2 linked regions of the Notamacropus eugenii genome follow. The protein of the gene in region 2 purifies or fractionates together with the protein of the main gene of each other region. This does not show direct contact. Links are inferred from orthologs where the notes say so. Each region holds a gene or a part of one and is shown on either strand. Other genes may lie near its edges. The genes, in order: KCNA5 and CAV1.

Region 1 (16,675 bases), about 56 Mb from region 2:
GTGTGTGTTCGTCCTTCATTTTTGAAGAAGGCCAGTTTTTAAAATGAGGATAATAATAACACCTAACTCCTACAGTTATTGCAAGGTTCAAATGAGACAACATGTGTACAGCACTCTGAAAACCTTCAAGTACTATTTAAAAACAAGCTATTATTGTTCTCTTGCTGTTTTGACCAGCCTCTTGATTTCATGAAATACACAATACCCACTAAGAAAATCCCCTTTACTGATGCAACTCAGAACATATTTTGCAACTCAAAAAGTCACTTGGGGTACTAAGAAAATAGACAAGTTGCCCAGGGTCACAGAACTCATATCAGAGGTGAATTTTCTCAACTGGGAGGACAACTATTCTGCTATTCCAAAATGCCTCTTATGATCCCTGTAAAGCACTGCAGTGTTTGTTTCCTACCACTTCTGCTATATAGTGAGCGTCATTGAAAGCAAGGCCATGTCTTAATTACATTGTCTTTTCCCCCAGCACTTGCACAATATTAAATGATTGTTGAATGAATGATGATCAACCAGTTGAAAAACCCCAAAACATCCAAATGGTGGATGTAATTAAGCATTTAAGAAGGCAGTGTGGTATGGATAAAGAACATGAATGGAGGTAGGACCCAGGAGATCCAGATTCAAGTTCCAAGTCTCTCACTTTTTGCTATAAGGCCAAGTTTTGGGCCACTTCGGTCAAATTCCAAAGTTACTATCCTAGCTCTGATATTCTAGTGTCACAACGGATAGAGTACCAGGCCTGGAATTAGGAACATTGTTGAATCATTTCAGTCTTGTCTGACTCCTCATGACCCTATTTGGAGTTTTCTTTGCAAAGATACTAGAGTGTTTCATAATTTCCATCTCTAGCTCATTTTATAGATAAGAAACTAAGTAAACAGGGTTAAGTGACTTGCCCAGGTCTCATAGCTAGTAAGTGTCTGAGGCCAGATTTAAACTCAGGTCCTCCTGATTCCAGACCTTGCACTGTATCCATTGTATCACCTAAACACTTTATAATTATTATCTCATTTGGTCCTCACAATAGTCCTGGGAAATAAGTACTATTACCACCCTCATTTTACAGCTGAGGAAACCGAGGTAAACAGAGACTAAGTGACTTGCCCAGGGTCATATAACTAGTTGGTGTTTGGAGCTGGATTTGAACTCACGTATTCATGATTTGAACACCACTCTAGTATCTTTCCTAAGAAAACCCCAAATGGGGTCACAAACACAACTGAAATGACCCAATAATTACGTGTCTGATACATGGTAAGCATCAGAGAAATGTTAGCTGTTGTTATTGGAACCCTTAAAGATTTTCCTGTTCTGCAAATGCTTTCCACTCTTGTATCTAGAATCATACAACTCAACCATTATATACTGACTTGTTTCCTGCCATTTCACACATCTTTTATTTCCCATTGATTTCAGGAACCATGCCATCTTCTTTGTATCCCTCACAACATCTGACACAGGGTTGGGTCCATCGTAGGTATTTACTAAATTTCTATTGATAGACTGATAAAGGAAGTGGGCAAGGAAAGTCAACAAACAATCTCTCAGTTCTCCCTCAGTTATCGACAAAGCCATTATCAGTTTCCTGTCTGGCAAAGTATAATTGCTGTGTTATTACTTTAGTCTTCTGTCCCTCACACCAAGGGAAATGCTTTGCTATACCCTGAATACCACAAATGGAAAGGTCTTTAACACATATTAAATTACAAGCCCCAGTGAAATTGTAATTTCCTAAAAGACAGTGATTATGTGCTCCTCCCCACCCCCCACACACAGTGAGTTCATCATAGATTTGACAGCATGTATTCAATGAATATTTATTATCTCATATCCCAAAGACAGATAAAGGGAATTCTTCAGACATTAAAATTAATGACCAGGTAGACTTGATTGACCAATGGGGAATTTTAAAAATCAATATGGTACCTTTTAAATTTGCTTTCATAGAGTACAAGAAATCTCAAGGAAACTAGTTCTTCAACCCTGTTTGCAGAGTACCTGCTGCTAGCTTCCAAGGTAATCATAGTTCCTCCTAGCAAACTAAGAACCCTGTCCCATTAGCCAAAGGGAGATAAACCCTTTGGTCACTAGTGTTCTCCAGGGTTGTCACTGGCCTCCCGGAGACATTGGATAAAAGAGTCAGTCATATGGCTGCAACTTAAGACTTCTGGTTAGATTCTCATTGCTGATCTACCTTGTTACCTCAGTGTAGTTCTTCTGGTTATAGATCTTTGGTCCCCCCAGATCACTATCACCTTTACCACCAAATCCCACACATCCTACATGAAATATATATCCTTTGCCTTTTTTCCTCCATCCTCAAAATGTGATTATTATGAATGAAATCACATTTAAATCACATTTAATTTAAAGTTTTCAGAGATGTAGCCTGCCATTATTGGCCAAATATATGCCAAACAAGATTATGATTCCTCATAATCAGACCAGTAAAGGCCTATATGCTAATCTCTCTATTCCATTTGACCACCTATTTCTTAAGGAACAAATGTTAAAATCAACAGTGATCATTGGTAGTGATGGTGCTCCCCTGCAATCTCTGCTACTAGGGAAGACTGATACTGGTATTTTGCTTGAGTTCTAGAGTTTTGAGCTACAGTAGAGCTAATGCTGATTAGATGTCAATGCCGATTGGGTGTTTGACACCAAAATGATGAGCCCTAGGGAGTGGAAGGTGATCAGACTGTCTAAGGAAGGAAAAAAACAGCTCAGGTCAGAAAAAACTAATCTTCTGTGATCAGCATTTCGATAGAAGTGAGCAGCTGCTGCATTTCAAGCCTAGGTAACAGAGGGATACCCAGTCTCAATAAAAACAAAGAAACAAAAGCCAAACAAATAAATAGGTGAATAGACAAATAAATGAATGAATGATAAATAAATGGATAGTCAAATAAATAAATGAGCAAATGAATAGTCAAAGACAGACATACAGATAGATGGATAGACAGACAGATAGATAGTTTTGTTTTTTAAATAAAATTAACTGTGACTATTTTCCCTTTGGAGTTTCTGGGAAAAGGAAAAGATAACTGAAAAGAATCTAATTGCACTCTCAGTTTCATACAATCCATTCCAGAATTGCCAAACTGTATAAAAATGGAAGCTAAGGGACTTGAGTGGACTTGAATATAATTTGGTATTGGGTTTTGGCACTGCTGCTTTTCCTTTCTTTTAACTTGCAAATGAATGTGCTGAGTTCTGCTTACATTGGGTTTTCTACTCCTCAATTTGTATGTTAACACTTTCTGACTGAAAAAAAAAAAAGCCCACATCTGTCTGCATTATCATAACCACACCTTTTATATATTTATTTGTGTAGCTGTCTCGTTTAAATGCAAATTTCCAAAATTCATTTAAGCTTAAACAGCTATGTGAAGACTTGAATAGAAGTATAGGGGCAGGATCTGTAATTTCAGTGGTATAATGAAGTTCCAGGTGAAGAAATCCCTTTACCAAGGCAGGTAAGATTGACATTTTCTCTGCAACATATAGTCCTAGAAAGTTGCCCAGAGCACTGAGAGATGAAATCATTTCCCCAGGGTCACTCCATCTCTATGTATAAGAGGTAAGTCCTAAATCCTAAAAAGCTAGCTTTGAAGTTTGCTCTCCCTCCACGATATACCACACTGTTAGACACTGCACTGTATAAAACCAGGTATTAGCTTAGCCATTGTTATGGAGAAAAGAGAGCGGGAGGGTTAAGGATCATCCTCTGACCCCTAGGGAGGATTTAAAAAGTCATTCTGTGGATTATTTAACTGAGGGAAAAGCAATATCATTAATCCAGAACTCCAGGGCAGACAGCTAACACCAGAGAGAAATTTCTGTACATGTATACTTACTTTGGTATTTAGCCACCACCTCCCTGCCAGAAAGAAACAAAGAGATTCCAAACTGAGGGATTAAAATCTCTAAAGGCAAAGCAACAAGCTGCAGAAATCAACATTTAATGTGAATGAGCAGATCCTCTACATTCCCTGTAGCCACTGTATGTGGTAAAAGCATAGCACAGCTATCCCCCATACCATGGGGGGCTCTCCATGACTCCATCAAACACAGATCTCTTAGTGACTCCATGGTATGATAAAGGTCCTGTAGACCAGACTTCATTGTCTGAGAAGACTCAGTCTTGGTTCTCAGAGCTGTTCAGTGCTATGTTAAGCAGAGTTAAACCCTGAGGGAAAGAGAAACTTCAGAACGTCCAGGAGATTAGGGGGGTGGGGATGGGTCCGTTCTCCTGTTTCTTTTTTCACTTGATCCACATTGCCTGGTAGATGCTGAGTCCAAGAAGCACAGGTTCTTGGCAAAAAGCTTGTTAAAGTGATATCTTTACTGAACACATTCTGAGCAAATCAAAGAATATTGTACCTCACAGATTATCTTTCAAAACTATCCTTGCAAGGTCTTTGCTATGAATTCAAAACCGAGAAGACAAAGAGATTATTTTTTAATCACACACAAAAAAAATGATCAACTGTGGAAAAACAAACACTCCCCTCAATAAGGTAATGTTTTATTTCTGAGGATAAAAATCAAAGGAAGGAATTCTAAGAAATCTTCCTCCAACCTCATTAAAATGTGCAAAAAGAAAATCACACTAATTATTTAAGGCTCACCAAAAAACGCAGACTTGCCTTTCTTTGCAGAAAGTGTTCCTTTTCTAGAGCTAAAGCATTGAGTTCACATCATATCCAGAGATACACAAGCCTGTGGACATGAGAATTAGGACTGGCTTATGCTGAGAAACAAGTGTCTGTATAAGGAAGGTGCTGGTGAAATAGTGGTTCCCAGAAAAGCAACAGAAACTTTTTCCATCCATAAGCACAACATATTTATATAGAAAGAGAAAATGCCAGAAATATCTGAATTATAGTATAAAAGTTCCTTTCACCTGTCACACAAAAAATAGCTTTTCCCCCTATATTCAAATAAATATACTCAAACTTGCAACAAACATATCTGCAGTTTACAAAATCCCTAGCTTTTTCTTATTGGTTGTTTTTTCCAAAGGTTCTTGTCTGCATTTTCCCACTAATGGCTAAAAGTGACCAGGACTGCAAATACATACATCTTACTGCACTCACCATTTCAACAGTTTCCTGCGTCATGGAATGTGGTACTTTTTAAAAATAAGTGACCCTTTGGTGTCATGGAAAAAAGAAGGGGGAAAGAGAGGGAGAAGGAATGAGGGAGAAAATCAGGTTGGAGAACAGTCTTTGTATAATACTCAGTGGTACAAAACAGATTTCCACTATCAAGATCCCTCGTTCTGTTTCTCACTCTTAAATCTCCGCCTGGCTGTCTTGATGTCTTCTACAGATCTGTCTCCTGGCTTGTGTCCAGACAAAGGGCATAGAGGGATTTCCTTATGTCTACATTGCTTTTGACTTTAAGATTGCATTTTTCCGTGGGGCAGCTTTCTCTGTGAGCCCCTTCCATGTTTTCTGGGATTTTAGTAAAGGACCCTTTGCTCCCACTAGACTTCAGCTGATTCACACTGTCCTGTATTGAGCCCTGGCCTGTGGGGCTGACTGGTTCTTCCTTGAGGACTGCCCTTTCTTCATTGTCTGTCTCCCGATGATAGAAATAATTGAAGTTGGAGACAATGACAGGCACTGGCAGAGCTATGGTGAGGACACCTGCAATGGCACACAAAGATCCTACAATTTTGCCCCCTACCGTCACTGGTCTCATGTCCCCATAGCCCACTGTAGTCATGGTGACCACTGCCCACCAGAAGGCATCTGGGATGCTGGAGAAGTGGGTGTCCTGGTTGTCAGCCTCTGCAAAGTAGACAGCGCTGGAGAAGAGGATGACTCCAATGAAAAGGAAGAAGATGAGGAGCCCCAGCTCCCGCATGGAGGCCTGTAGGGTCTTGCCCAGGATTTGGAGGCCCTTAGAATGGCGGGAGAGTTTGAAGATACGGAAGACCCTGACCAAGCGGATGACCCGCAGGATGGCCAAGGACATGGCCTGCTGTCCATTCGAACTGCTGCCTCCTCCTACTCCCCCTGGCTGTTGCTCTGCAAGCTCAGTGCCCAGAGTGATGAAGTAAGGAAAAATTGCAACCACATCGATGATGTTCATGATGTTGCGGGAGAATTCCGCTTTACTGGGGCAAGCAAAGAAGCGTACCAGAAGCTCAAAGGTGAACCACACTACACACGTGGTCTCCACAATGAAGAATGGGTCTGCCAGGGTCCTGGGCATCATAGGGGCCACTGTGGGCCCCTGAGGCAGAAGATGCAGCTCCTGACCACCACCTCGGCTGGCGTTAGCGCTCTGGGGGTGAGCTGGAGGCTGTTGGGGTAGCGGCGGATGGTGAAGCACTTCCCGTTCATCCCGGAACTCAGGCAAGGTCTCAAGACAGAAGGTGATGATGGAGATGAGGATGACCAAGACGGAGACAATGGCGATGCCTCGGGCTGAGCCAGAACTTTCCGGGTACTCAAAGATGAGCCAGACCTGCCTCTGGAACTCATTCCGGGGCAGTGGCTTCTCCTCCTCTTTGATGAAGCCCTCATCCTCCCTGAACCTTTCCATAGCTTCGTCCCCTAGTTGGTAGAAGCGGATCTCGTCAGCAAACACGTCCAAAGAAACATTGACTGGCCTCCGCAACCTGCCCCCCGACTGGTAGTAGTAGAGGATGCCGTCAAAGCTGGGTCGGTTGCGATCGAAGAAATACTCATTGCGCAGGGGGTCAAAGTAGTGCAGACGCTTGGCAGGGTCCCCCAAGAGAGTGTCCGGGAACTGAGCCAGGGTGCCTAGCTGAGTCTCGAAACGCAGGCCCGAGACGTTGATGAGGACACGTTGATGATGGAGGGCAGATGACCCTAATCCTTCACCCTCCGACATGCCCAAGGTGGAGCTTGTCTCTTCTTCTTCTTCCCCCTGTCCAGGAGGTTGCTGTCTCACTGCCCGAGGAAGTTCAGGTAAGGGACGTCCACCTAGGCCGTCGCCTCTCCCCCCACGACCACGGCCAGACCTCCTCGGCTTCCCCTCCTTGGCTCCGTCGTTGAGCTGCCCAGTCGCGGGACTCAAGAGCTCTTCCTCCAGGTTGGGGCCGCTGCCTCCCCCAGCCTGCTCTCCTTTCCCGATGGCCGTGGTGCCTCCGTTCTTCAGGGTGACCAAGGCAATCTCCATGGGCCAGGGCCAGAGGCATGCTGCGCCCCCGCCTCTTGGCTCCTCCGTCACACTCTCTCCCTGTGCCCTCCCCAAGCCCTCTGTTAACCTCCTGCCTGGTCGCCCGAATCTCTGCGAATGCTCCCTGCTGGGGTTGCCGGAGCGACTCCCAGTTAGTCCTGACGTCAAGAAGCTGCCCTGGCTCTTTTCTCTCTGCAAGCTAGTCGGTTACCAAGCAGCATAAAAGCTTCTTTGCAAGCAGATGCAATCTTACACTGCGCTCTCCATCAGCAAGGCACTCAGCCACCACCCCCTGTAGTTCCCTCCACCTCTTTCATTCTCTTCCTCCCCTTCCCCGCTTCGCGACTCTCACTCCCTATAGCTCTAGCTAGTCCTGCCAGACAAGCGGCATAACATCACCCCCACCTACTCCCTTCCCTCCTCTCCCAAAACACTGGGGGCGTCACCCTGTGCAGAGGCACAGCTGGAGTTAATGGTTTGGGAGAGCAGGGAGAGAGCAGGGAGAGGTGCAGAGGAGGAGCACAAGTTGTGTACGGGAGAGAGACAAGACTCCCCTGGGCAAGAAGATGAGAAGAGCTTTGTGTGATTCTGCTCACCTGGGATTCTGCAATACGCTGGATGGACTTAGGCGGGGGAGTGAGAAGGTGAGAATATTGGGTCGTTCCACTATGGAAGAGATGAAAATGATTCTCATTCTCTCTCCCTCTCCCTCTCTCTCTCCCTCTCTCACCTCTCTCTCTGTCTCTCTCTCTGTTTCTCTGTCTCTCTCTGTCTCTGTCTGTCTATCTGTCTATCTCTGTCTCTCTCTCTGTCTCTCTCTCTCTCTCTCTCTCTCTCTCTCTCTCTCTCTCTCTCTCTCTCTCTCTCTCTCTCTCTCTCTCTCTCTCCCTCTCTTTCCCTCTCCCTCTCCCTTGTGTGTCCCTGTGTTTCTGTCTCTCTCTATCTCTCTTGTGTCTATGTCCCTTTATTTGTCTCTGTCTCTGTCCCTCTTCTCTCCTTTTCTTTATCTTTCAGCAGGGGTGGGGTTGACAGAGTCCTCAACTAGGGTTAAAATGATTCAAATGATCAACAATTTAAAAAACAACACCTTAACAAACCAGCAAAGAGACCTTTTCCATCTTTCTTACACTTACAGGTCAGAAATTATGTACTGTCTAACCAGGCTTCAACTCAAATGAGAATCCACATTCCCAATACATTTCTTCCCTAAAAGCAGCAATAGATGTACTTCCCTTAGACTCATTCAGGCAGCCCCAGGTAGGCAGAATCAAGGAAACTCTTTTTTTATTATTATTATTTTATTTATTTTTTTTTAATGTTCTACAACCACCACCATAAAACTTAGATTTATACCCCCCCCCCACCTTCCTCCCTCCCCAAGACGGAAGGAAACTCTTTGAATAACCACACAACTCTCCACTCTCAAGACCAAATCTTACCAGAATAGGAAAAAGGAGGAGAGGACTAGAGACCCCAAGAAGGATTGAAAATTCCTTATAAAAGTTGGTTACTTCCTTTGAATATTTTACAGTTCAAAGTACTACATTTGGAAATAAAGGTTCTGTATAAGTGGTGAGTAAGGGAAACTCTGTACCTGTTTCCCTATTTGTTTTACGAATGAGATATATAATCCTGCCTCTCCCTGCCAAACTACTCCCAGCCGCAGCTCCCCATTTGTTCAGTGTAAGCTGGGTGTCACACTACTGCCAGGCTCTACTTACTACCTTTATTCCAAATACCTTACTACCTTGAGCAAACCTTTAGAATTTCATTTCGAGGACTTTCTCTTGGACTTACTTCCCTACTTACTTCCCAGTAAAATCTTAGGTCACTAAATTCTAGGGGCAGCTAGGTGATTCAGTGGATAGAACACCAGTGCAGGAGTCAGGAGGACCTGAGTTCAAATCTCACCTCAGACACTTGACACTCACTAGCTATGTGACCTTGGGCAAGTCACTTAACCCCAATTGCCTCATCCTGGGTCATCTCCAGTCATCCTGATGAATATCTGGTCACTGGATTCAGATGTCTCTGGAGAAGAAGTGAGGCTGGTGATCTGCACAGTCCTCTTTCACTCAAAACAAAGTCAAGTACAAGTCACGCCATTACTTCACTGATGACATGGTCTTCTACGGCAACAAAGGACCAACACCACACATGTCACCAAATTCTATCTGTTCTTTTTTTGAACATTTTGATATCTACTCTCCATAGATTTAAGGCTAATGTCAGAGTATTCTTGACTTTCTTCTCTTTATCATAAATGTTAATATGGAATGCTTTCTTCCCTACAATGTTTCTATCATATACTTCACCAATTTTTCCTTGTTGATCAGAAATGGAAACTAGGTTCACTTACTCACCACTTATAAAGAAACCCTATTTCCAAATGCAGATTAACCTGGTACCAACTACTCTGAACTGTAAAATATTCAAAGGAAGTAATCATCTTTTATCAGGAATTTTCAATCCTTCTTGGGATCTCTCCTCCTCTCCTCCTCTTTCCTATTCTGGTGAGATTTGGTCTTCAGAGTGGAGAGTTGTGCAGTTATTCAAAGAGTTTCCTTGATTCTGCCTACCTGGGGCTGCCTGAATGAGTCTAAGGGAAGTACATCTATTGCTACTTTTAGGGAAGAAATGTATTGGGAATGTGGATTCTCATTAGAGTTGAAGTTTGGTTAGACAGCACACAATTTCTGACCTGTAAGTATAAGAAAGATGGAAAAAGTCTCTTCATTGGTTTGTTAAGGTGTTGTTGTTTTTTAAATTGTTGTTCATATACATACGTATGTGTGTATATTATGTATCTATATATACATGCATATGCATGCAAACATGTATGTATGTATGTATGTATACATATATAAATATATACACGTGTGTGTTTGTTTATTCCTGAGCGTGGAATCAGGAAGACTTATCTTCCTGAATTCAAATCTGGCCTCAGATACTTACTAGCTGTGTGATCCTGGGTAATTCACTTAATCCTGTTTGCCTCAGTTTCTTCATCTGTAAAATGAATTGAGAAGGAAATAGTAAACTACTCCAGTACTTTTGCCAAGAAAACCCCAAATGGGGTCACCAAAGTTGGACATGACTGAAACAACTGAACAAGGACAAAAAAGGATGGAGAGAGAGCTCTCATGTGGCTCACACAGGTATCTATGGAGGTATATAGATATATGTGTGTTTGTGTGTTTTATTGCTGGACTTTCCCTTTACATCACATTCCTCCTTCTGCCACCTCTAGATCTAATCCTCTTTTGGGTCAATGAGTTTTGCCCTTTGGGGGCAAACAATTAAGCAAAAGAATCCAATATAGTAACTCCTTCTGATGAGGTATCCAGTATTCTGTCCCCACCCCACCCCCATATCTCTCTTTCCTGGGGACTGGAGCTCATGTCATCAGTGGCTCTCTCAGAGAGTCACTGCCTTTTCAGTTGCTAAACATTTGAGATGCCCTTAGTGATCTTTCATTTGCATTTTTGTAGTCACTATTTGTATCTTTTGCTTATTTCATGCAGCATCAGTTCACACAAATCTTTCCATATTTTCCTGAATTCCTCATATTCATCATTTATTATAACAGAATAATATTCCATTACAAATTCCATTCTGTACTATTCCATAGTCAATATGTGCCCACTTTTTTCCCCAGTTCTTTGTCACCCAAAAAGTGCTGTGAATATTTTGGTATATATTGGGCTTTTGAATCTGTTTCTGAAGTCCTTGGAGGGAGAAATCCAGATGTAGAATTATAGGGTTAAAAAGTATGGAAGTTTAGAAACTCTTCTTACATAAATCCAAATTGAAATCCAGTATCCTTACATTTTGAATGGACAGTTCAGATAGATACATAGATACATAGATACATAGAGATAGATACATACATACACACAGAGAAGCATAGATATATGTATATATGCACACATACATATTGTTATATACACATATGTAGCTATATATACATATATATTTGTATATATATTAACATTTCTGGGCAATTTTTCTGTGTGATTTCTAGGAAGATCTTCAGATTTTTTTCATATTATTATGCCTTTGAAGATTTATTATTCTTAGATTATTTCTTCACATCTTAACTTCAAGTTCAAGATAAAATTCTTACTTTGTAGAACTCTTCTGTGTGTTTCTGACCTTACTTTGAAAAAAATGATCACATTATTTTTCCTTGGGCTTCTGCCTTTTTTCACTTCAGTTTTCTTGTCTTCTATTACAGAGAGTGTCTCTGTCTTTTGTTCCTTTTTGTTCTAAATTGTCTACTTTCTTCTTTTGCTGATTTCCTCTCTTACAATTCTAATTTCTGGGCTTCAAAAAATCTTTTCATTTAATTTCTCCTTTAAGCTCCTGGCTAGATAGCACAGTAGATAGAGTGGACACCTGAGTTCATGACATGAGTTCAAATCCTGCCTTAGACACTTATTAGCTGTGTGAATCTGGGCAGGTCACTTAACCTCTGCCTGCCTCATTTTTCTCAACAGTAAAATGAGGATAAAATAGACTTGTTGTAAGGACAAAATGAGATAATGTAAAATTCTTAACACACTGCCTAGTCCAGTGCCTGTTTCTATCTTTCCTTCCTTCTGAACCGTGCTGGATGTTCTTAGAATCATTCTGTTGTCATTTCAGGGGGGCTTACAGAATTTATTGAAGTATCTTCACCTTTTGGGAGAGAATTTTGCCAATTTCCTTTCTCGTGAGTTATGTGAAGAGATTGCTGTTGTCTTTAAATATTCATTTCTCCTTTGTCAGCAGTTATCTGTTTTTATCAATTACTCTTTTGATTTTTTATAATGTTTTTGATATAAATACGCTTCTTTTATTGATGATCTTTTCCTTTCAGAAAGCCTAGGATCATCATGCCTCTATATCAGTCTTTTATCCTATTCTGTTCTCTAGAAGGATGTATGAGGTGTTCAAGGAGGGCTAACACCTCTGGTGCTAGTGTGATGACTTGCTGATTCCTTTTCAGAACTGCTTATGCACTTTTGTGTCCACCTTCACCCAAGTCTCACATGTCACTCCAAGAAGCTATAGCATGGGCAGCAGCACACCCTGGTAAACCATCTCAGCAGATGGGCTAAATTAGTTTGAGGGTAACCACCAGGACTCAAACCCTTTGGTGAGTTAGGGGGTGTCTATGACAAGTACGTGCAGACTTTCCCTAGTAGAATGGGCAGATGAGAATAATTTTGTTGATGAGAACAACAATGTTGGATTTTTTAAATTTTTATTTTCATTCTATCCCCACTTTAACAGTTGGCAAATATCTGTGTGTAAAATATAATTTCTTCTAGTGACATTTCACCAAATGGCATTTCTTTAAGACACAGATCTCATATTGAGTAGAATTGAATGTGCTTTCAAATTCAGCCCTGCTACACTGAAATTATGGGAAATTGGAAAAGAAGAATAGACATTTAAAGGTGGCTGATGCAGGCACTGCAGAGCCCTTAGACTTTGAAGACTCCAAGGTCCTCCACTGCATCCTGGACCATTGCCAGTCATCTCGACTTTTGTTTTACCAATGGACTTTGATGACTAGAAGAGAGAGTGAGGCTGATGACTTTGTACCACTCTGCCCCACTTAAATCCAATTTAGCTGCAAGTTACGACATCTACCATGATATCATTGGTCCTCTTTGAAAACAAAGGATGAACAACATATTCTCCAGAGCTCTATATTCTCTTGCTTTCTAAGATACTCATGCAGACGTACCCTGAGAGGTTATCATAGTTGGGTCTTTTCTCTACCTTTATCAGTTTCCCTCTTCAACACTTTTCCTTTTTCTCTAAAATTGACTTTCCTAACACTTAAGCTGAAGAGATTGACCATGAAGGGGTTGGAGAAGGATCACCCAAATGAAAGATGCTTCAACAAGCCTTTGCAAGTGGATGTCTTGTTCAATTTTTCACTCTCTTCATCTTGCTGCCTGTGTCTTTCTCTGCTATATTGAAAAGTTTCACAAGCGTTGCACTGCTATGCTACTTATTCCTTAAAATCTTGTCCCCAAGGTTCAATTCCTCCATAACTGGTTAATTTCTTCTTTCTTGTCAAGCCTTAGATCTAATCCAGGGGTGGAGAACCTGTAATCTTGAGACCATATAAGGCCTTCTAGGTCTTTGAGTGCAGTCTTTTGACTGAATCCAATTTCTACAGAATAAATCCTTTTATTAAGGGAAATTGTTCTATGAAGTTTGGATACAATCAAAGGGCCATACTTGATGTGGCCTCGGGGCCACAGGTTCCCCATCCCTGGTCTATTCTATTTCATGTACTTCAACTTGTCCTGTAGCTCACCACTAATCCATTAACCTGAATAATCAAATATCTAAAATGGAAACAGTCACAAGAGATTGAGAAACATAGAGCTGCCCTGAAACAGTGTGGTTGTGGACAATGGGAATGCCAGAGTGGTGATTCAAGGCCTTAACTTACCCTGACGGTGACAAACCTGCCACCTTCTCCAGTGTTGCTAATGTGTCAGCTCCATGAGGAACACAAAGCTGCCTAGGTCAGCATGATCTTGGAGGGAGAAGTCACCCAAGGAGAGGTGTCCAGGAAGCAGTTGGTGATATAGAATTTCAGCTTAAGAGATTTCAGCAGTCTCTCCTGTCTGGGAATGTCTGCCTTTTTTCCTCTACCTCATAGAATCCCTGGTTCATTACAAAGCATGGCTCACTTGCAACCTCATCCGGAAGGACTTTCCTGATATTTCCAGTTGCTAGTGTTATTCACCCCAGAACTTACTTTGTACTTAGTCCATATATACACATGTGCATATATTAATATAATGATATATTATATGTTAATATGATGCAATATATTATATATTTCTATAATAGAATATATGTTAACATGTTATATGTTACATGTACAATGTTTATCTACATAAATGCCTGCATAAACATATGTGTATTTGCCTTGTATAACAAAAGCTTCTTGAAAGATATGCTTGATTTTTGTATAGTTATCCCTTCCACATCACAATTTTCCCCATAACTATTTTGGCATATCTTGGGCATAAGAAATTAAATGGGGATTTGAGAGAAGTTTTGCAGAAGCCACAGACAATACACAAAGGCAGCAGATGACACAGAAAAAAATGAGAAACTCAGAAATGCATAAAATATATGGATAACATTGTATAATATCAACCCAAATTTTACAATAAGGTACTGTAAACCTGCATAAAAGAAAAATAAAAAATTCGGACTTCTTCTCTGGTATGAAGAAAGAGTCAAAAAATTTTACATGGATTTTCCAGATCATGGGGGCACCATACCCCCTAACCCCTACAATATGGAAGGGATAGCTGTATTTGTATCCCCAGAAACTAACAGTGGAACTCAATAAATGTTTGTTGAATTAAACTGCCTTCAATTCAGATCCCAATTCCACTATTTAAGTGACTTAAGTTACTTTGGGTCTTTGGGTCTCAATTTCTTCATTTGAGTTATGGGAAGAAAAAAGGCAGGGGATTGCACTAGATGACCTCCATGGTACCTTCCAGTTCTAAAATTCTTTGACCTCTCCATGATTCTCAGAGTGTTCCAGTGATCCTAGGTTTGAGAAAGATTGTACTTTCACAATATTCCCCCACCATGCAGTGGAAAGATGGAGAGGGCTCAGATGGGAGCATAGGGCAGGGTTAGACAGAGTCAGAGAGGAAGCATTCTATGCAAAATTTAACTTAAAAAAATTTCCTTTAAAAAAATAAAGGCTCTTTATCAATAGGCCCTGTAAAACCTGGGACTTCCAGTCACCTACCAATTCAGTTATGATTATCAAGAAATATATCATCTAAGAATGCATTAGCATTAAGATCATATACTATTATAATCATAAAACTATGATTACTACATTACTTATCTAAAAAAGGTGAAGTTTTCTCTCTTCTAAGCCCCTCATCCCAGATGTATCCAGCTTAGTTTTCTGTCCAAAAAAAATTCAATAAAAAACTCCATAAAATATTTCAATGTTTTTAAAAGAGTAACTTTTTTTCTTCATTTCCCCTTCCCTTCTAATTTTCCCCTTAATTCGTTATTCAGGAAGTAAAATCTGGAAATGATCTTTCTTTCTCACTGTGGTTTGATGAAAACAGAGGAAACAGCAAGATAAAGGCAAAAAAGTGTGACTGAGAAGAAGGTAAAGAAAAGAAAAGGAGAAAGAAGGAGAGGAGGAAGAGAAGGAAAAGAAAGAAGAGAAAAAGAAGAAAAGGATGAGGATCAAAAGGGGATGAGAGAACTGGTTCTTCAGAGAGACCTCAGGGCAGATCCTTTTATTTCCTGTTCAGGAGGATTAATTTTCCTGGATTAAAGGTCTGTTTTAGGCCATTCACAAATCAAGCCTCACATCTGGAACTGGGCTTTTCCTTTCTCTCCCTCCCCAGATCCAATTCAGAAGTATTCATTAATGACTTCAGTATATTTATAGTTGCCATCCTTTAGGTTAGAAATGCTAAGCTGGATTGAGTGAGCCTGAGGGGGCAGGTGCTGATTTTAAGAGAAGTTGTGCATTTTCGCTCCCATATTCTCTTTTTAGACAGTGATAGTTTCAAATTGAAACTAAAACATAGTACCCAGGAGATTTGGTTTTTTTGTGGTTTTCCTTGCTTTCCCATGTCTTTTCTTTCTTCAGGACTCCAAAAATTCTCTGATTTTATGAGTAGCCCAATAACCATAAAGACTGAACCTCAAGAAGGTCTTCATGAGTTGTTGTGGCTAAGAAAAGGTTTAAAATGTCCTCATTTGGTGAAGAACCTTTCTGAGTTTTGTTAGACTGGTCCTGGATAAATAACAATTCATAAAGTCCTGGAGCATCGCCAAAACTGTTCTAACTGATAGGACTTATTGGTATTTGTACTGTGTTGGTGTTGCCTTCAAAAGTTCAGTGTCAACTTGAAGACAAATTCAAGTATGACTATTTGTGAACTAGCTCTCTCTCTCTCTCTCTCTCTCTCTCTCTCTCTCTCTCTCTCTCTCTCTCTCTCTCTCTCTCTTTCTCTCTCCTTTCCTCTCTGTCCCTGTTTCTCTTGAGACTTCAATATTCTATTTCCTATTCTTGAGAACTCACAGTTTTTGAAATAATAAAGCATAGCTCTGTTTGTCATTGGCCTCTATTTTACTTTAGTCTCCTTCCTTCCCTATGGTCTTTCCTTTCTCTCTTCCTTCTTATATCTTTCTCTCCTTTTATTCCTCCCTCTCTCCTGCTCTCCCTCCCTTCTTCCTTCCTTCTTTCTACCCCTCTTTCCTTCCCTCCTTTCTTCCTTCTTCCTTCCTTCCTCCTTTCTTCCTTCCTTTTTATTTGTTTTCTGAGTCTCTGTTCTGGGGACTTAGAGATAAAAATTATAATATTTTACTTTCAATGGTTTTCTATTTGGGTATTTGCCAGCTTATTAGGAATGGGATCTTAAGTGCATTATGTTAAGTCCTAGGGTTATAAAGATGAAATAAGACCTGATATCTATCATTTAGGAGC
Region 2 (16,445 bases):
ATTTGTATCAATATTAACGAACCAGTACCAGGTTACCTAAGGAAGGGGAAACTGGTTTGGGTCAGAAATAGTTTGGGTAGTGGGATTGGGCCCATGAATAGTCTCTGTACCTCTAATCTGGGTGAGATGGGTGACACAATCTTTGAAAGAAAGAAAAGAAAAAAAAGAAAATCTCTGTCTTTTCAAACACTGAAATTCTGTGATACCTTTACATTTCATTATCCCTTTCTATGAATCCTCCATTGGAATAGAAAGTAGCCGTGATATAAGAGAAAGAAAACTAGATTTGTTATAAGAAGGTCTCCAAAGTCCCTTCCAACTACAACAAAATGTGAATAAGCTGGAATCCCTCCTCACCCTCACCTGTGTCCAGTATCGACAATGTATTCATCTAGTCCTGAATTTTTAAAACCATTACAGGAATATATATGAAAGTATGTGCCTATTACGTATAATCTACAAAACGCACATCGTAGACCTTAAAATGATATAAATGTCCCACCCAGGAATGTTCTGTATGAGCTTTTTGCTGGCCCTTTATTAAGTTAAAAACTGTAGATGCTAAAAATATAAGCAATGATATTTTTATGATGCAAGCGTGACTTGCATCTTCTCATATGGACCACTCAATAACACATCTGAATAGAAAATAAATAGTAGTTTTAGCTCCCTGTCTCAGAAATAAAGTTTGGAATAATTTTCCAGAGTTGGATACAAATTGCTATAAGAAGAGGTAATGCAGCTTTTTCAAGAACTGACAATGAGTTTTCAGAAAAAATAGCAATTCTTGTTGCAAGGGCTCTTTAAGCAAGGGACTAAATTCAATCATTTTTGGACTACACGGCCCAAGAACATATGAAAACTTGTATTAACTACATCGCTGTAGCTGAACACTTTCACAAAATTTAAATTATTTAGACACTGCTCGGTTCATCTTATTTGCCACTCTAGAATCACTACTAGCTGAGGAAGAACATGTATACGATAAAGAGCCAGAGTGTGCCAGTAAATATTCGACACCTGCCTGGGGGTGGAGAACACTTTTATGTGTAATCTGCATTGTTAATATTTTCTCCATAACTTTAAATCTAAAAATCAATAAAACAATACATCAAGCCTTGATTTGCAGCATTTACCCAGTTTCCAAGGTGTGAATGCTTGTTGAAAATGTAACCATTAGCTCCTGTGAGCTGATACAAGCTGGCTGCTGAATCTAAAAAGGATCCAGCTATTCAAATAAGTTTAACCTAAAGTCACTGAGGAAATTGGCTGCTGATATCCGAGGAACAACCAGTCCTTGGTGATTCAGCTATGTTCATGGTAAAGTTATTAATTCTTCTGCAGCCTAACCATAGCAAATCACCTGGTAAGGGCGAATCAATACCACATGTTGAGCAGCTAATTGTTTTGAATATTATACACCTCGGTAAATTTCTCTTCTTTTGGAGTCATTGTACCCTAACAAATTAATAGAAATTGGGAAATAGACACATATTCAACGGAATGCATTGAAGCAAAAAATTAATAGGTGAATAAATCCTGGCCTATGCTTACCCATACTTCTAGTTTGGAGATGAGCACTTCTACACACTCCACTGTTATTCCAGATAGCAAACTTGAAACATACTTTACCACATACACAATTAACTCACAAAGATGGTTTTAAAAAATCTGTGGAAAAACCCACAGCCTAACGGATCTCTCTCTGAATCTTGATCTTCAGTGATGGGTTGGACCTCTAACATCTCTGTGGTACAGCTGTGGAATGATCTCACTTTTCAATTACTGGCATGAGTACGGCTGCTTTTCTGCCTACTGAAGGATGAATGTCCTTACACAGAGTTACCATGAGCTATAGTGAAGGGTTCACTTCACAGGCATTCCAGGATAGACAACCCATGGTCATTCCTTGTGCTAAGGTGGAGGGAGGGAAAGATAAAGTGGTTTCTTGGTCAACAACTACAGTTTCTATCTTTTAAAGTCATTAGGTTTCTTGTATAAGGCTCTATTATAATTGGCCATGGATAATTTCATCCATTTTCATCAAAGCAAAACCCATGGTGTTGGTAAAAACTTTTCTTTGGTTTACAATGCTTGAATTCACAGAAAACAGACTAGATTACAAACTTAACAATGTTGAGAAACACATGCCTTGGCACTTGGGTGTGATTGGAATGCCTCACTTTTGATTAATTTTTCAATATATTTCTGAAGTTCAATGTTCACATTAAAGTGAAAATATGTATCCTTCTTTCTTTGCATGCCAGCTCCTACCTTAGATAGTGAGTGTCTGGAGATGATGGTTTTGTTTGTCTCTTCAGTGTTTAGCCCAATGCAGGCTACTGAAGGATGAATATCCTTACACAGAGTGCCTGCAGGCACTTTAATGTTTACTGACTATCTCTGGAGATAGTCCACTGTATTTGATTATAAGGACAACTAGTTCTTCAATTCTAGGCAAGCTTTTATAAATTGATGGCTTACAAGAATACTCAAATAATACCAATTGGTAGAGTGGATAGAGTGCTGGATTTGAAGGCAGAAAGACCTAGATTTCAAATCCTGTCTCTGACACTTATTAGTGCTATGTTCCAGGGTGTATTGATTAACCACTATGTGCCTTAAGCAACTCCCCAGGACTTACTATATAATCCCACATAAGAGTTGTTGTTTAGGTAATCAAGAAGAGGAAGGCTTCCCACCACCATAAAATCACAGATCCCTTCCATTTTCTAGTACATATGAAAAATCAGAGGTTAATTTGGGTAATCTAATGAAAAGAGATCCCTGGTACCCAGAATATCACAGAGCCTTTCCATATTTGAGTGCAAATAAAACATTTGAACCAGTTGTGTGAAGGCTAGAAAAATGTCATCTGCCAAAATTTCACGTTGATTTACATCCCTTTTAATTAGCAGAAGCTTGACACAGCAGGTTTTACTTTTTTGGATAATGCTGTCTGAAATTTTATGATTATAATATCTGATGAGCAAACATAATTGCTCATTTATTGAAGGAAGTCAAGAACCCAGTTTCTATGATATTGAGTGCTTATGCTCATACAGCCAGGTAACTAGGCCCTTGAACTTAGGAATAGATTAGAAAACTAATTTCTTTTTTAAAATATTCTGATTTTTCTTGTGATTTCTATGTAGCTTAGCTTGGGCATTGAAAGTATACTAAGTATATATTCAGTAACTGTGTAACTTTTTTACATTTTATATCAGAGCTGTTTCCTTCGTTTCTCATCAGCCAGAATTATTTTTAAAATGTGATATGAGAATCTTCTGAATGTAGAGTTGCTTCCCTCTGCCCTGTTAAGTCCTTTACCTTTCACAATAGATTTATTTGATCTGTTTCCATTCCACCTGTTTCCATTTTTAATATGAGGCTGGCTAGCGTAATGATAACATGAACTTCTCAGGTGTTCTAAAGTTGGGAGATGGGTTGCCTATTCTGATGTAAGAAAAACTCAAGTTCTAGGGTCAAGGTAACAGGAAAAAGATTATTCCAGCCTTCATAATCACATTTAAATTCTTGGCCCCAAAAATTCTTAAAAGAGTCACTCTTTCTTGACTCTAAGACCCTATCACTGGAGGCTTGATTCAGAGATGCCAAAGAAGGAATTTGTGCTGTAGGTAATCAGGTGATCTTAAAGTTTTCTATCTTGGATACTCTGAAAAAAAGGTCCTGGATCAACTTTGACCAGTTGTTGCTTAGGCAGTATTTAAATTTAAATTTCTAGATGCACACATTTAAGTTTCTATTTACCTCCCTGAAGTCATAAAGATCAGACAAATGATTATGATAGTGAATTCTTTACTGTGTTTTGCTCAGTCCTACCAGCAAGTAAGCGGGACACAAGATTCTGAGGCTGGCAGGGCCACACATTAACACCTGCTTTTAATTTATTTGGTCTGAGGATTCCTAATAATTGCCCTTTGGAGTCCTGTTTTGTAAACTTCAATTTCCTCTAAGACCGTTATGTTTTTTTTCCATCTATGTTAAGTCTCTTTTCCCAGTGGGATCTTTCTCTATTTAGTCATGCAGTGTGTGGAGACCCAAATTCCATACAGCCTGGGAGCTCTGACTCATCCTCAGAAAGTTTGGTTGCTCCAGGGACTCCTACTAACAGTGCAAATGAGCAGAAAAAAATAACCAGTGAAGCACCTCCTTCCTGAATTCTACAGTGCTAGTGCTCTACCTAGCAACTGACCTTCTTATCAAAAGCCAAATAAGGGAGAAAAACTTAATAAAGTTTATCTTTATCCTCCTCTTTAAAATAATTTGAGATAAGTGGGTTTACGTTCTCTTCAATTTATTCAGAATTTAGCAGTTTTAATTTTCAGATTATTGCAAATTGCTTTTTTTTTTAATATTCCATACTCTGCTCTACCAGCAAAATCTTTAAAAGCTTCCAGTTACTACTTCCCTTTTGCCCTCATGCCAAGGGAATTAAGTTCAATATGCTCATTTTCCTCACATGTACAGAATAAAATGTTCCCCTTTTAAAATATGCTATTCATAAACACAAAGAGTTACAGAAATCTCACTCCTCCCAACTCCGATCCTCATGTAACAAGTCCTGGATGACTTGAAATGGTTTTATTTTAATCAGGTTTGCAGTCACAGGATTTTGCAGGGCAGTGGCTTTAGATTCTACTATCTTGAGCCAAGAGGTCTCCTTGGCCTTCTTGGTCCCAGAAAAGTAAGCCCTTTGCCAAGTAACAGTAATATGCACAATTACTCAATCCAAATGGGTCCTAACGATGCAGTCTTCTGACCACATTTGCTTAAAATGTGGTTAAAGTTTGCAATAATAGTAATAAACAATGCCGACTGTTGATAAAAGTTTTGACAGCTCACTGGTTTTTAACTAATGTTCTGCATGTATATGCGGAAGGATTCATTTTGGTCCATGAGATTCAGGAGCAGATTTATGTAAGAAATCATAAATGAAAGTACCGATTACAAAGTAGCTGGTTCCCCAGTGCGATGGACTCCAGGCTGTTGAGATTTTTGCACACTTACTGTGTGATTAAAAACTTAGAGCTTGGCATTTCACTGGAACACTCACTCCTTCCTGGTTCACAGCATTTTCACCCATTCTAGTATTTTCAAGAAAAACATTTATTTTAATTCAGGATCCTGTCAACTTTGTGTTTGTATTCCACATGCCTATAGGTATTTACAGTAGCGTCCTAAGAGTACCAATGTTCAAGTAGTTCTTCAAGGCATCAGAGTGGATGCAGACAGCCTTGCCTTAGCTAGAAGCAGCCTGCCTATGCAGTTCTCTGTAGTTAGGATGCCTGGCTACAAGTAGACTTCAGTGGAAGTTAAGGGGTTAGGGTTAGGCTGAAATCACCTGGCAAAGAGAAGGGGAAAATTCATTTTCTGCCTTTTCCATGAGCTTTCAGCGGATTACTCCTATCAGTCCCAGAGGTGGCAATATAATATAATTGATACCTGGGCTCCCAGTGCCCTCATCCATCAGTGCGACCCTGAGGGGGTCCTGCCTGAAGGACCTGTTCAGGTCACTTTCCCTCCAGCCCAGCCCAGCCCTTACCTTGACCACATCGTCATTGAGATGCTTGGGGTCTCGGTTGACCAGGTCGATCTCCTTGGTGTGCGCATCGTACATTTGCTTCTCGTTCATTTCGTCGGTCATGGTCTTATTGTTGGGTTTGTAGATGTTTCCCTGCTCCCGGATGGGCGCCGAATAGAGAAGCCCCTAGGGAGGAGGGGTGGGGGTGGTGGTGATGGTAGGGACGGGGAGGGGGGGGGGGGGGGTTGGAAATAAAAAAAAAAAGCAGAACAAGCGGACAAAAGTCAACCGGAGGTTGGGAAAGCTCTCAAGCTTAAGGAAGAGAGAAGGGTGATTCTTATTCTTTGGAAAGGCGGCGGCTGCAGCTGCGGCAAGTACTGCGACTTGCTCAGAGCAAAGTCAACTTCACGGGGAGACTGGCTTTTTAAAAGGATAGAAAAGACGACACCACACCCCTCGGTACCAGGCGGAGAAGCCCGACTCCCGCTCCTGCCGCCAGGGGTCATCTGCAAACGCAGCCCAAACGTCCGGCTCCCAAATCTCTCCTACTGCCCCCCCCTTTTACTCCCTCGCCTTCCCTGTATTCAGCGCCCCGTGTTTGGCCCAGAGAGCTCCGGCAGCCTTGGGCTCAACCCTGGTCCTGGCCCCACTTTAGGGCGCCTCACCTTACCGGGATTTCCTTACCTGCTTCGGTCGCCTCCCCCCAGTCTCTGACACCTGTAGCTTCCTCCCCTAACCCTGGATTTCTCCGATAGAGCGATGGGTCACTCACTGCTCATCGTCCCAAACCCCAGCCCCCATTAAACCGTGCACCTGCGGCCCCTCCTCTAGCATCCCACCTTAGCGCTCTCTGGACTGCTCTCAGGTAGCCCTAAAGCTTAGAGATATCTATTGCGGCCCACCCCCTCTCACCCCATTCACCCCAAGAGGTTACTCCCACCCTCACCTCCTAGAATTCACAGAATCTCAAGATCGAGCCCACCTCCCCACATCTCACCCGTCTCCCCTAAATTCCAATCGCATCTCCCCCGATTTAGCAGCAGCGTACCCCCTCCCCCTTCCGCTAACTCTGATAGGCGCCGCGGCCACTGACTTGGGGGAAAAAATTGTTCTGCATAAATGTGGGTCTGGGTTCTGGGGGGAGGATGAGCTGGGAGAAATCTCCCCTTTGCAAACTCCATTCCTAAGGAGTTTTTAGAGAGGGATCAAGGACTTGGGGGAGAGCAAACAGAGCGCGCGCCAACGCCCCAGTTAAGCTTTTCCAGACGCCAGGGTCTGGGTTCGGGTAGTGCTTGCCCAGAACTGCTGGATGAGGAAGCTACAGCCCCCGCAGCCCCTCCCGTCCCCCCGCGTTCCCAGACACTCCAGCCTCCCGCCCCAGCGCTATCAGCCGGGCAGCTGGTAAAAGGCGGGGGGGTGTAAGAGAGAAAACAAATAACGAAAAACCTCCAAGGAGGTGGATCTCTGTTCTGGCAGACGTAAAGTCGGGGAGCCCCCAAGGTTATCCCGTCCACCTCTTCCACCCCCCCCCCCTCCAGCAATTTGCTCGGTGATTTCCCTAAGAAAGCCAACCACAAACGGAGCAGATAGCCAGTTTGGGCGCTGCCCTCCCCCCAGCCCCGATTCCTCCCCGAAACTCCCCGGACCGACGCCCGCTCCTTAGCAGTGACTGTCGGAGGTCAAGAGGGAGAGCGGTAAAGAAAGGCAGTGGGAGCGCTCCCAGCAGCGGTTGGAGATGGCCGCGGCCGGCGGGCGCTCCCAGGGAGGGACATACGGCCGCAGGGCACCTCGTGCCCGGGGTGGGGGTGGGGGTTTGGGGCTTTGAGAAACTCCCCGAAGACGAAGCAAATCCTACCTCGGAGTCTATGTATTTGCCACTAGACATTCTGCCTTGGGTTTGACGGAGGGAGGTTCTGGTGGAGATTTCCCTGGGTTATAATTTAAGGGAGCTGAGGAAGGAAGATCCTGTATTATGGGAAGGGAAAAAAAAAGGAAAGAAAAAACATCTCGGTGGGGGTTGGGGGTGGGGTAGGTTAGGGAGGGGAGGTAGCTGCGAGTGAGAGAGCTGGCGGCGGGCCAGGGGTTTGTTCGGCTTGCTTTTGGCCAGGATGACAGCGGTGCTGGGTCTAGGCACATCCCCAATGACTCCGGGAGCAGCCGGGAGGGCCCGAGGAGGGAGGGGGGAGTAGGAGCGAGCGAGCTTTTTATCCATGTTTTACCGAGGCATTTATTTTAAACCTGGGGCAACATTTTCCCAGCCGTGTAGCCACCAAGGCGATCCAAGAGAGCCTGCTTGAAAAACAAGAATATTTTCCTGGTGCATCACACCAGCAGGAGGGTGTGAAGTGGAACAAGTTTAGTGAGGGATTCCCAAGAGGGAAGGGCACCTCCGGCAGAGGCAGAAGGCTTTAAGCGTGTCCTTGACCACTTCTGAGGGGCGAAATGCAAGGTCCTACCCCCACCCCACCCCTTTATCTCTCCTCCCCCAGGAAAAAGCGTTGTTCAGCAGCTTGGAAGGGGAAAGGTGATGAAAAAGGGGTGGAAAATTTTAGTTACATCTCCTAAACTGAAGCAAAAAGTCGGGGTGTTAGAGTGTGTATGCTTTCGGTGACCCTCGTTTACATATGTTTAGCCTCGTCTGGAAACTTGGTACCTTTGTACCACTTTGTAGAGCGAACCTATATATGTCCCCCCTGGCTCATTTCAAAGTGATGCAAATGTTGAACTGTTCTTTACTTTTATTGCTGATTTTCTCTAAATGAAGGGGAAAACACGCCACAGGTTATGCTATGTTTGTACGATATATTACAGTATTAGTCGTAACTAAAATAATATTAAAATAAAACCTGCGACTTTATTGCTGGGCTAGAGTTTGGATGGAGGGATGGTTACGATTTAGGATAGGGACTGGACTCGTGATTTTACTAGTTTAGGGAATTTTCTGTTGAGAAAAGCAGCCCCACACCTTTTTATGGTCTAAGACAGAGACCTAGGGCATTTAGAGGGTAAATGGCTTGCCCAGGAGTCATACAACCAGGAAGAGTCAGAGACTGTTCACTACTTATCAAATAAAATACATTTCCCTTCTATCATCTATCTATGTATCTATCTATGTATCTATCTATGTATCTATCTATCTATCTATCTATCTATCTATCTATCTGTCATCTATCTAATCTATCATCTCCCTAATTTATTAAGAGAAGGATACTTTACTGTTTTATAAGAAATGAAATAATGATGTCATCCAAATTGGGCTATTTTTTTCTTAAGACCTTTAGGACCCTTAAGCAATAAATAGAACTCAGCTGCAAAAACTAGAAAGAAATGCGTGCTTACATATTTAAACCCAGTTTAGCGAAAGTAAGAGTGATATATTTAACTGAAAGAAAAAATTCCATTGGATACTACCTAGAGAAAGGTACATGCAATTCAGTTCAGTGCAATATTATAAAATGACTACATGTCCTAAGTGCATAGAATGCTGAATTTGAAGTCAAAAGACCTGAATTCAAATCATGCTGCTAATACTGTGTGACTCGGGGCAAGTTATTTAACCTTTTATTGACTAAGACAACTTTTCCAGTTTTTAGATGGGTTGTCCTGGTGATTGAACTTCACTGATGAAACCACGTCATTGAGAGTGTGTGCTCAGCATCCAAGTTAGGTGCTATGGGAAGTTATAAAAGAAATAGCACTTATAGAATATAGAATATATAATCCATATACTGCCCTCTGGTAGATTATCATCTATTTGGAAAGAAGAGGATACTACTATACATGTAATAATCAGGGAATAATACAAGATGATATGGAATGCAAATAGCAAACCCCATGATAAAGTAATGTAAGAGAAGGGAACTGGACAAAGGGAATTCCTTCCATCACTAATCCCCAACACCCAGCACAGAGTGAATGTAATTACTAAATAGTAATTGTTTCTCTTTTACCCAGGAACCCTGAAGGTCTTCCCCTCCCAGTTTGATTTTTTTTTTTTATTAAAGGGGCCATCCCTTGAGTAACTACTTAAAGAAGCCTATTCATTGAATGGGTGTATCTCACTCAAAGTGAGAATGTGATAAGATCTTAGCCTGAAAGGACCAGGGTCTCACTTTGCTTGCTTGGCGTCCTCCAGTCATCCTGATGAATATCAGGCCACTGGACCCAGATGGTTCAGGAGAAGAAAGTGAAGTTGGTGACCTTGTACAGCCCTCCCTCATTCAAATCAAAGTCAACTGCAAGTCATGTCCTCATCTTGATGTCATGGTCCTCTTTGAGAACTAAGGACAAACACAACAACAACAAAAACAACTACATCAGGAAAATAAGAGGTCAGAGGGGTCTAGGATATTAGGAAAGGTTTCATGGAGAATGTTATTAGGAGGAGGTGTTACTTGAGTGAGGCTGCATAATCTCTTAAATGATTCTGATTTCTCTAAATCCTAGGCTTTATTAATTTTACCCTTGTACCTTGTATCTTTTCCTGCATGGCCAAATTGTCTATTTCTCACAAACGTGTATAAGCTGCTGTAAAAGAATCATATCTAGTTCATGTAAATGTGTCACATAATATTTAGCATAAACAACATAAATGTGTAATGTTATCTATTTATTATAGTATTTCCTAAATTAATATCAGTACTAATAGCAGAACTAATAGTTCCTTCGAACACATTTTTTTGTAAAATAATGTTCAATGGAAAAAATGTTGAAACCATTTTCCATCTATTGTTCCCCAAACTTCAGCTGTGATGAGTAATCTTGGTTATAAAAAGTCAACAGGAACATGAAATGAGCCTGTTCCTGCATTCCAACAGAGGAACTCTGCTTTCTGGGAGGGCCTCTTAGTGAATGTTTAAGTAATACAAAATTGAAGAATAATAATCTGACTGGGGAAGCCCATGCAAAACAGTCATAAATAGCCAAGCCATGAAATCATGATAATGATCAGTGAAGCACTGTCAATGCCAAGTGAATTACAAATGAGCAGAAAAAAAATATTGAACTCTGATTAGCATGCCCCAACAAGAAGAAGTTGAAGGTGTGTATAAATTGCAGAAGACAAACCCTACTTTCCTTATAATCAAAAACTTTGCTAAATAATTCCACCCTTTTAAGGGAAAAGAGGCTGTGATAAAGAATGCTTATGACTGGAGAGCATGACCGTGTTTGATGAATTATTAAAGTTACAGAGCTGGAATGATTCTTCTTTCTTGAAAACCCACAAGGATAACTTTAGGTATCTTTTGATTACTGAATAATGAATAGATGGCAGCTGATTTGTAAAGGAGATCCAACTTTGTTTTCAATAAGCAGTAGCACCATAGATCATAGATCACAGGATTTTAGAGTTGAAAGGTACTTCCCACATCATCTATTCCTACCCACTCATATAGATGAGGAAACTGAGGCCCTGAGGTTAATATTTCATTCTCTGTGAATGCAAATGGGCACTTTCTTTTCAATTTATGATCTTAGAGAATTGTCTGAAGCTCCAAGAGGGACACAAGGTCACAATCAATGTCAGGGACAGAATTTGAACTGAGATTTTTCTGACTTTGAGGTCACTGTGCCATGTTGCCACTATTACAATTTTTTAAAAATGTACATCAATAAATGACTATAAAAGAGGTGAACAATTTTGAGTACATATGCTAAATGTAGTTATGGAGATTATTTTTAAGTAATGGAGCCTGCCTGATTTAGGTGAAGTTGTTTGGTAGTTCTAATCTTTGGTATCCCACCAAGCCTTTTATCCACCCAAACTTTCTCTTCCATATCTTACCCTACATATTCAGCATTACTTTCTTGTCCTAAGTTGGGATCAAGTAAAATTTGCCAAAATGTTATCCGAAAATGAAACTGTTAGTTGAGAGCTTAAAGCATGACTACTCCCAGAAATATTTGCATTTTAAAGGAGATAATAAATTGGGGGAGGGTTTCAGGGAAGTCTGACTTGGGCCTACTATACTACTTCACTGATCAAAAGTCAGAGGCTCAGAAAGTATTTCCCTGAGGAATCCCCTATTTACAGGGCTACTTAGCACCATGGAGGCTTCTTTATCACAGGATTGGCTCCCATTGTCTACATCCTCAGTTCACAAAGGAGAAGTGCCAACCCCTATCTTCCTCTCCCCGGCTTGCTTCACACATTCTCAGCCAATTCTCTAAGGGAGTAGATACAAAATTGGAAATAAAAGCTTTGGCACACCAGCTCTGAAAGTTTGTTGGATTACAAAATAATAATGCATTTACATAATGATTTAAGGTCTTCAAAACACTTTCTTCACAACAGTAGACACTGACAGTAGCATTAACCTCATTTGAAAGCTGAAGAACCTGTGGCTCTGAGGAGTGAGATGATTTAGGAAAGGGAAATTGGCATAGGGGGACGGAGTATTGGCTTTGTCATTAGAAAAACTTGGGTTCAAATCCTCTGATACAAGATTTATGAGCATGATGGAGTCATTTAAACTCCGTGAGCCTCGGATGTATATCCAGTAAAATAAGGGGGTAGGAATAGATAGCCTCTTAAAGATCTTCTGGCCCTAAGCCTATGATGATGTCCAGGATTGTATGAGTTACCCACAGTTCAATACCTAGTGAATGAACATTTGAAATGGCATCCAGACCCCAGGTACTGAGTACAGGTTTAGCCTTCCCCTCACTCTGCTGTGCTGACTCTTTGAAGACAGGTAAAATCCATTTCTGGGATAAATTCCAGGACTACATCAGAATTAAACTATCCTCTGAACTTCTTAAAGGGAAGACCACTCAAAATAGCTGTGTAGGAAATGGAACAGGCCCAAACAAATAGGCTTGATGAGGGGAGGTGTTCATAATAATCAAGATCCAGAATTCTCAAAGTGAATAGACTAGTTGGAGTTGTCAGACTGGCTCCTCATGTCTCTTTTATCTTCAAGAAATCAACTTTAGCTAATATGTTCTCGTTAAAAATTCAGCTTTCTGAAGTTTCTCACCTATTTCTAGTGTTTCCAGTTTTCTTAACTAGTTCCTTCCACCTTTCTCACTCTGGTTTCTCTTCCAAGCACTTCCTGAAAATTCTTACTAATCTCTGCCTTTGAGCTTTTTCTTCAGAGGTTCTTGTGGCGTATTCCAGGGTCGTACTAAGCTCTTTATCCTTTTCCATCAATTTGTTCTTTCTTCTTACTTTACCTGTATGAAACTGACTCATATATGATAAGTTTTCCAAACATCCTTCCAGACTGTTCTACTAGAATATCTGCTTGGCCCTTTTACCTTCACCTCAATCTCAGAACAACAAAGATTAAACTGATCACCTGCTACCTGAAATCCTGCTGTTATACACTTCTGATTCCCTAGGACAAGAAACCATAATCCCTCCAGCAGGCAATTCCAGAATCATCTCTTACAATTCATTTAACTACCTTTTTTATTGTCAAACTGCAGTCAAGTCCTCCCAAGTCTTCTCCCATTAGCATCATTAAAATCTCTCTCTCCCTTTCTCAGACCTAAGTCCTGCTTTTAAAATTCTGAACTTCCATCAGCATTTTCTCCTCAACGACTTCCTTGCCTTCAGTCTTTTATTCTTCTAATCATTCCAAAATGCCATCAGTGGAATGATCTTTCTGACTTGTATATTGGTAAGTATTACTTTCTTTAAAAATTTCCAGTGGTTCTTTACTTCTTAGTGATCCAAACAATGTTTATTAGCTGGGGAGATGAAGAGAGAAGGAAAGTAAATAATAATTTTTCTGGTCCTCAGTTTCCTTATCTGTATTTTTTTTTTTGGAATTGACAACTTTTACAATACTTTCTTGTTTTAAATCCTGTGATATGATTCAATCCATGACTATATGATCAAGGTATGTATGTCTAATTATTTTGTTTTCTTTAAGTCGGTAGAGGACAGGATTGGACTGCCGGTTCTCAGGAAAGATGTGTTTTTGGAATAATTATTCAAAGCATGTCATAACAGCTATCCAAAAAGCAAAAGCAAAATCGGTAAAACAATAAGCCATTTAAGTTAACAACTCAGGACTACTAACCTACTTGACTGACTTTCTTTTCTTTATTGAATTTATATGATTTAAAACAAAAACAGAATTGATGGCCAGTTTTAGTTCTATATAGAAAAAAGCAATCTATACATAACAGTGCTTAGCAAGGTGCCTGACACATAATAGGCACTTAATAGATGTTTATTGATTGACTGATTGATCGATAAAGTAGAAAGCATTATTGGGTATTAGTGACTCTAAGATATTAGAGCTTTTCAATATTCCAAATTTTAATCCAGCTAATACACTACAGTTTACTTCCATCTTTACTCCATTTATAGTCATTTATTCTTAGTGAACTTTTTCTCAACTCATTTAAAAAGAATTCGTCTAGTAAATAGGCAGGTTGGTAAAAAAGCAAAACTAAACTTTAAATGTGAAACATAGAGAAAACCTTCTCTATGTGAAAGGCCATTCCATAAGACCTTAAGACTATAGAGTCTTAGAATTCAAAGATTCTTGAAAGGTCATTCCCTTGCCTTAATGCAAGTCTGATTTAAATTATTTAAGATAGATAAGAACCTAATATGTTTCTAAAAGCTTTCAAGAGAAGAGTCACCATCTTCTCTCAGAAACAACCTTAGCCATCCAGAACTCTCAAGGTATAAGTTAATTTGCACAGACTGGTAAGGGTTAATTCTTTTAAGTGTTATAACTTTAATTTTAAATGACTTTTGATGTAATTCTCTTTAAAACCAGACTGAATATGGTGTGACACATGGCTGAATATGATATACACATACCTTCTTAGCTAGAACGAGCACTGTATTTGGGGTCAAGAAATCTGGGGGGGGGTGGAGCCAAGATGGTGGAGTAGAAAGACGCAAATACACATAGCTCTGAACCCACAACCCATACAACATCGGTATAAAGTAACTCATGGCGAATTCTGGAGCAGTGAGGCCACAGAACAGTGGAGCGAAGGAGATTTCTGTCCCAGAGGGACCTGCAAACCTCTCGCAAAAGGTCCCTCGCGCAGCAGACACGGAGCCTAGCCCAGCCCAGACCTGCTGCGGCCGTGGCACCAAGAGGAACAGACCCGAGCAGGCTTCAGGGACAGGCTCTCCAGCGGCCGCACAAGTCCCTCCACCCACAGGTGACGGGGGTGGGTGAGAGAGTCTCTTTGGCGGGTCGAGAGGGGAGTGGGGTGCCCCCATGGCTCGGGCCCCCTCGGGAGGCAGAAGCTGAGGGGTGGTGGCAGACCAGGGCTCCCTGGGCGGGCAGGAGCCTGGATCCATTGTTGAAGGTCTGTGCATAAACCCCCTGAGGGAACTGAGCCTGAGAGGCTGCCCTGCCCTGACCTGAGCACCTGAACTTAATCTCACACTGAATAGCAGCCCTGCCCCCACCAAAAGCCCTGAGGCTGGAAGCAGCATTTGAATCTCAGACCCCAAACGCTGGCTGGGAGAATCAGGAGGCGAGGTGGGTGTGAGGAGAATATTCACAGGTCAAGTCACTGGCTGGGGAGAATGCCCAGAGAAGGGAAAAGAAATAAGACTATAGAAGGTTACTTTCTAGGTGAACAGGCATTTCCTCCCTGCCTTTCTGATGAGGAAGAACAATGCTTACCATCAGGCAAAGACACAGAAGGCAAGGCTTCTGTGTCCCAGCCCACCCAATGGGCTCAGGCCATAGAAGAGCTCAAAAAGAATTTTGAAAATCAACTTAGAGAGGTAGAGGAAAAGCTGGGAAGAGAAATGAGATACATGAAGTCAAAGCATGAACAGCAGGTCAGCTCCCTGCTAAAGGAGACCCAAAAAAATGCTGAAGAAAATAACACCTTGAAAAGTAGGCTAACTCAATTGGCAAAAGAGGTTCAAGAAGCCAATGAGGAGAAGAATGCTTTCAAAAGCAGAATTAGCCAGATGGAAAAGGAGATTCAAAAGCTCACTGAAGAAAATAGTTCTTTCAAAATTAGAATGGCACAGATGGAGGCTAATGACTTTATGAGAAAGCAAGATATCACAATACAAAACCAAAAGAATGGAAAAATGGAAGATAATATGAAATATCTCATTGGAAAAACAACTGACCTGGAAAATAGATTCAGGAGAGACAATTTAAAAATTATGGGCCTACCTGAAAGCCATGATCAAAAAAAGAGCCTAGATATCATCTTTCATGAAATTATCAAGGAAAACTGCCCTGAGATTCTAGAACCAGAGGGCAAAATAAGTATTCAAGGAATCCACAGATCACCACCTGAAAGAGATCCAAAAAGAGAAACTCCTAGGAACATTGTGGCCAAATTCCAGAGTTCCCAGGTCAAGGAGAAAATATTGCAAGCAGCTAGAAAGAAACAATTCAAGTATTGTGGAAATACAATCAGGATAACACAAGATCTAGCAGCCTCTGCATTAAGGGATTGAAGGGCATGGAATAGGATATTCCAGAAGTCAAAGGAACTAGGACTAAAACCAAGAATCACCTACCCAGCAAAACTGAGTATAATACTTCAGGGGAAAAATTGGTCTTTCAATGAAATAGAGGATTTTCAAGCATTCTTGATGAAAAGACCAGAGCTGAAAAGAAAATTTGACTTTCAAACACAAGAATGAAGAGAACCATGAAAAGGTGAACAGCAAAGAGAAGTCATAAGGGACTTACTAAAGTTGAACTGTTTACATTCCTACATGGAAAGACAATATTTGTAACTCTTGAAACTTTTCAGTATCTGGGTACTGGGTGGGATTACACACATACACACGCACACGCACACTCACATGCACATGCACACGCACACACACATAGAGACAGAATACACAGAGTGAATTAAAGAGGATGGGATCATATCTTAAAAAAATGAAATCAAGCAGTGAGAGAGAAATATATTGGGAGGAGAAAGGGAGAAATGGAAT

The links.
Region 1: the proteins of CAV1 (region 2) and KCNA5 purify together in Homo sapiens (affinity purification with western blotting, with the first as the bait; 3 studies listed by BioGRID). This does not show direct contact. The link is inferred for Notamacropus eugenii from reciprocal best matches to the Homo sapiens genes CAV1 and KCNA5.

What each region holds. Positions count from the first base shown.
Region 1 is NC_092874.1:192,645,132-192,661,806, reverse strand, and holds the start of KCNA5 (potassium voltage-gated channel subfamily A member 5), read right to left. Parts: upstream 7,466-16,675; 5' UTR 7,177-7,465; coding exon 5,347-7,176; 3' UTR 1-5,346. UniProt on the Homo sapiens protein: Voltage-gated potassium channel that mediates transmembrane potassium transport in excitable membranes. Forms tetrameric potassium-selective channels through which potassium ions pass in accordance with their electrochemical gradient.
Region 2 is NC_092874.1:136,580,071-136,596,515, forward strand, and holds the start of CAV1 (caveolin-1), read right to left. Parts: upstream 7,700-16,445; 5' UTR 7,431-7,699; coding exon 7,401-7,430; intron 6,747-7,400; exon of another isoform or gene 6,663-6,746; coding exon of another isoform or gene 6,639-6,662; intron 5,732-6,638; coding exon 5,567-5,731; intron 1-5,566. UniProt on the Homo sapiens protein: May act as a scaffolding protein within caveolar membranes. Forms a stable heterooligomeric complex with CAV2 that targets to lipid rafts and drives caveolae formation. Mediates the recruitment of CAVIN proteins (CAVIN1/2/3/4) to the caveolae.